Linked DNA regions of Kluyveromyces lactis. Each later gene encodes a partner of the first gene's protein in a complex. Links are inferred from orthologs where the notes say so. Each region holds a gene or a part of one and is shown in the gene's direction. Other genes may lie near its edges.

Region 1 (2,297 bases):
TCAAGATCAAGAACCGGACGAATTGAAGGATCCCAACCTTCTTGTCAGTGAACCTGCCAATTGCCCTTACTGTGCCACTGCAGAGTTTGGTGTAACATACGAACCGCGCAGGGACGTGCGGACTGGAATCAACGGGATCTACGCTTCCGAATACAAGATTGCCGAATACAAGGACCGTGAAGGCCTAGTATCGGATTCTAGCAGCAATGAAGATGACGAACTCGTAACTATAGAACAAATTCGTAGGGGCTCAATAGCAGCCGATGATCCGTCTGTGATAACATCCGATTCTATAAGACCTGACTGGGAGATCAATCTAACCAAAGAAAGATTAAGACTCGCTAGAAGATCAGCAAAAGCTACTGCAATACACATGAGTAATCAATTAATTGATCCCGAACACCCTTCTAGACACGCATCCATTTCTTCTTCAGTTGGAGGCCCTGACGGAGGGAATAGTCCTCAACGTCGTCAGAAAACATTAGAAGAACTGGATGACGAAATGCTCCAACAAGCAATCAAACTAAGTTTGCAGGATCATTAACCTAATTTGGAGCTTATTTCATGAACTGAAAGCATTTTCTCCTGCACTGCTGTCTCCTTCATTACCTTCACGACTAACGACAGATACAATCAACACATTCGCAAATTACTTCACTTTGCATGCATCTTTTAACAATCCCATAACTTTCGCATCATACCTTAAGATACAAGGTACACTCATCAGTAACACTGCGCGCGAGTATATATATGTTTATAAAACATAGAATATTATGTGGAATATAGCACCCATCTGCGGACTCACTCCGACTCAATATCAGGGATTCTCCCTTGTACATCTACGCTGACTCTGTACATCCAGCGTTTCATGCAGAAACATTATATCACATCACACGAATTATCATGCCTGACGAAACCACGCAGCTTTTCCTGAAATTTTTCACCTTTCCACGATGAGATGTGAAATATCAATAAAACTTACAGGAGTAACCATTTAACATTTCGATAGGAAAAGTATTTGTTTTACACATGATGGCATTTGTTCAATTTGAAGCTTCTTTTATGAAATATTCTTATTACTTATATCGTTTTATTATTTAGTTTCTCTTATTTTCAAAGGACCAAAGAAATAGTCTGCTTCATTACGAGCTTAATCTGATTATCTCTACACTTGCCAGAACCAGGAAATTTTACATTAGAAATGTCTGTTGAAACTGCTTTGTCTTACGCTGCTTTGATCTTGGCTGATGCTGATATCGAAGTCTCTTCTGAAAAGTTGTTGGCTTTGACTGAAGCTGCCAACGTCCCAGTTGAAGGTATCTGGGCTGATATCTTTGCTAAGGCTTTGGCTAAGCAAAACATCAAGGACTTGTTGGTCAAGTTCGAAGCTGGTGCTGGTGGTGCTGCTCCAGTTGCTACTGGTGGTGCTGCTGCCGGTGCCGAAGAAGCTGCTGCTGAAGAAAAGGAAGAAGAAGCCAAGGAAGAATCCGATGATGACATGGGTTTCGGTTTGTTCGATTAAATTAGGTTAACTTTTAACATAGGAGGAATAAATTCTGTTTTTATTACTAGCGCATTAAGCTACTACTTACTACGTTAAATTTGAGAATCAAATAACACATCATTTGAGTGTATACACAAATATGTATATATAATCAACCGTTTTTAATACACAAACGTCCAATCTTCAAAGCATCTCATCACTAGTGACACTTTGAAATATAAGTAGGATCGTATAAGGTTCCATAATATCATTAGACAAATTGATAATCTGATAATTTGAATTAGATGTAAAATATTATAGTTTATACGTTTTTTTACACGGTAGACAATGTCTCATAATTACCAAACAGGAAACTTATTGAGAAAGGGGATGCGGTGACATTAATTCTTAATGACGGAAAGATAATTTGATTAAAAGATATTTATAAAATAAAACAACGTTTTGTCTAGTATTTGAATAAAAGGTATGGAGTTGCTTATTTCTTCTTTTCAGCTTCAGCTTCAGCCTTGTCCTTAGCTCTCTTTTCTCTGATACCCTTGTATCTCTTGTCGGATCTAGCCAATCTCAAAGTTCTGTAAGCAGATTCACCGTTGTCTTCAACAGCTCTGGTTTCAGAGTCAGTAACTGGTTGGACAATTGGGAAAGAGGCAGCAGCAGACAAAGTTTGTTCAGCTTCTGGAGCCTTACCCTTTCTTGGGAAGACGATGATCTTAGATTGGTATTCCTTCAATCTTTGGATGTTCAAGTCCAAGATTTCTTGGTTTCTGTTTTGACGTCTGTGGTCGACAGCAAT
Region 2 (2,685 bases), about 1.0 Mb from region 1:
AGCAATTCTTCTTGGGTTCTTTCTTTGGTGGAACAAAGAAGCGGACTTGGAAGATTGGAATCTGAAGATCTTGGAGTCACCACGGACAAACAAGGTACCTCTACCTGGGTAAATCTTAGCACCGGAAAAGGAATCAATTTCGACCTTCATTTCTTATCTGTAATTCAAATTTGCGATAACGTTATTAACTTGTTAGTAAATCTTTTGCTTTGGAAAATATCAAACGGTATAACAACATGACAGTACTGGTATGCAGCGTTATGAGTGAAAGACCTGTATATTCCTAATCTTCCTTCTCTGTTCATTGTATTGGCTTTACAGTGTGAAAATATGTCATAAGTTCTGATGGCTATCATTTAAAATATTGGTCTAACCGCAAATTCAGAAAATTAGTGCGATCACGGTACATCAATCATGCACGTTAATTTATCCTGTTCATTATTCTATCCATTATTCTATCATATTGGCAATGGCCTCACTCTCAAACTCAATCTTTCAAACGTTCCGGTATTCTCATCCATTCGTTCATTCATTCAGAACTCTCTTCTCAACACGCGGTCTGTACTATATTTGTGTCAGTCGTATATGGAGGCGTATGGTGCATACTTTTTCACTTGATTGGCTTGGTCTATCTAAACAAAGGCCTCTATTAAAACGTATATATGTCTTAATTGGACCTGTACACACTAATTAACTTGTTATTCTCTGTAATTGTTGATTCCAAAATTGTTAAATTGTGAGAAATGTCGAAGACAGGCCAAGCTGCCTGGAACAGGTCCTAGCTCTGAGCCTAGGCTCAGGACCATTCCTGTCCAGAGTCCAGCGCATGAGCAGACCATTGGAGCACTGTGGCCAGGTGGGACGTGAGCTGGAGAGTCTGGTTCAGAGTGGGATTGCTGCTGAGGGAAGTGTATGACTGTCTGCCTAGGAATCCTCTCCCAGCATCCTAGAGGGTGGATCCAATGGGAGGCCTTGCTGGAAAGCTAGCCAGACAGAGGGAACTGCCCCTGTCCAGGCAGCCTTCCCTCAGGAAGAACTGAAATTGGAAAAAAGTGAGAATATGCATTTCCTAATACAGTAATTCGCGCCGTTTTCAAAGCAAATTCAAAGTTTACATCCGTACACCACTTTCTGTTCGTTACGAAAACAGTCTCAAACACTCCTATTGTTACCCTGACAGGATAAGACCACACACAAGACTTTCCACATCTTTACTGAAAAGTTTCAACAGTTTCTCATCTCTCAATGATACAAATAAGACAAAGCTTGTTATACATCTTGACGTTGTCTTCTACTATTTTATGCTCGTCTCTTGATTTATAGTCTTAAAAAACCAGACCGGAGTGTTCAGATAGATATCACCAGTTAAAATACACAGAGATGGTCAGTATACTTTGTTCTATGCGCTAGTCGCCCGAATCGAATCTAATAAAACAAGCAACCCATCGACGGTAGAAGAAATGACTTCACTTTCGTTTAAAGCTTGGCGTTTGACGTTTTCGGAATAGGGCCTCTTTGCATTACTTGGATTCTTAATTGGAACCATTTTACTAACAGTTTTTCAAACTTTTATTATGTGGGAAAACCCTCGCATATAATTGCTTCTTCTATTTGTTCAGGCCCCAGCTAAGAACCAAGAAAACATCAACCAAAAGTTGGCTTTAGTCGTTAAGTCCGGTAAGTACTCTTTGGGTTACAAGTCTACCGTCAAGTCTTTGAGACAAGGTAAGGCTAAGTTGATCATCATCGCTGCCAACACCCCAGTCTTGAGAAAGTCTGAATTGGAATACTACGCCATGTTGTCCAAGACCAAGGTCTACTACTTCCAAGGTGGTAACAACGAATTGGGTACCGCTGTCGGTAAGTTGTTCAGAGTCGGTGTCGTTACCATTTTGGATGCCGGTGACTCCGATATCTTGACTGCTTTGGCTTAAACAGGATAGAAAACTCTCTAGTCTATCTTAGAATGTTTCTTTCCTATTTATAACAACTGTTTTCATTTTGTATAATATGTAACCATATTTACTCGCCGTTATTTCATTATAATAGAATATGAGTATTATACAGGTCAAGTTTCACTTCTGAGCTTAAAAGCTTCCATGCAGATCGGATATGCAACAGTTACTTGAAACTACTTCTTATTCACGTGACTGCTTTGAGCATGTGAAATTGTTCCAAAGCCTAGGTATATAAACAACAATATATACGAACCGAATAAGGACCTCAAAGGGACAAAGGGGAAAGCACTTGGTTATCTCAGGTGCAGACCCATATCTCGATACACTATTTGCTAAGGAAACTGGTTGCTTAACCGAAAGGCATCGCGATGACTGACCAACAGTCTTTTAGAACTCGGTTGGCCACGTTCATTGAGTTTTTGGACCCTATCGCATCGACTGTCCAATCCTACAGCCAGCCCTCGAAACAATTCATCAAACAGAAATTAACCAATGGTAAACAGAAGCTCCAGTTTAGAGATCAGGAAATTTCGCCTCAGTTGGCCAATTTCAAGCAGAAGACGTTGAAGAAGTTAAAAACTATTGATAAGCCCTTACAATCAATTTTCTTTCAAAATAGCTCAACACTTGAAAAATCGTTTTATCCATTCACTTTGTTCAATATATTCCTGATCGGGTTCCTCATCGGTAGGTACCCTCAATATTTCCACATTTACTACACTGCTAT

What was found.
Region 2: RPP1A (region 1) and RPL30 share a complex: the UniProt entries of both Saccharomyces cerevisiae proteins name them as parts of the large ribosomal subunit. The link is inferred for Kluyveromyces lactis from reciprocal best matches to the Saccharomyces cerevisiae genes RPP1A and RPL30.

Annotation. Positions count from the first base shown.
Region 1 is NC_006041.1:1,966,540-1,968,836, reverse strand, and holds RPP1A (ribosomal protein P1), read left to right. Parts: upstream 1-1,201; coding exon 1,202-1,522; downstream 1,523-2,297. Other genes in the region: SIP5 (Sip5p), read left to right, coding at 1-544; KLLA0_E22001g (60S ribosomal protein eL13), read right to left, coding at 1,980-2,297. UniProt on the Saccharomyces cerevisiae protein: Component of the ribosome, a large ribonucleoprotein complex responsible for the synthesis of proteins in the cell.
Region 2 is NC_006041.1:954,952-957,636, reverse strand, and holds RPL30 (60S ribosomal protein eL30), read left to right. Parts: upstream 1-1,380; coding exon 1,381-1,383; intron 1,384-1,619; coding exon 1,620-1,934; downstream 1,935-2,685. Other genes in the region: KLLA0_E10869g (60S ribosomal protein eL24), read right to left, coding at 1-150; GPC1 (glycerophosphocholine acyltransferase), read left to right, coding at 2,327-2,685. UniProt on the Saccharomyces cerevisiae protein: Component of the ribosome, a large ribonucleoprotein complex responsible for the synthesis of proteins in the cell.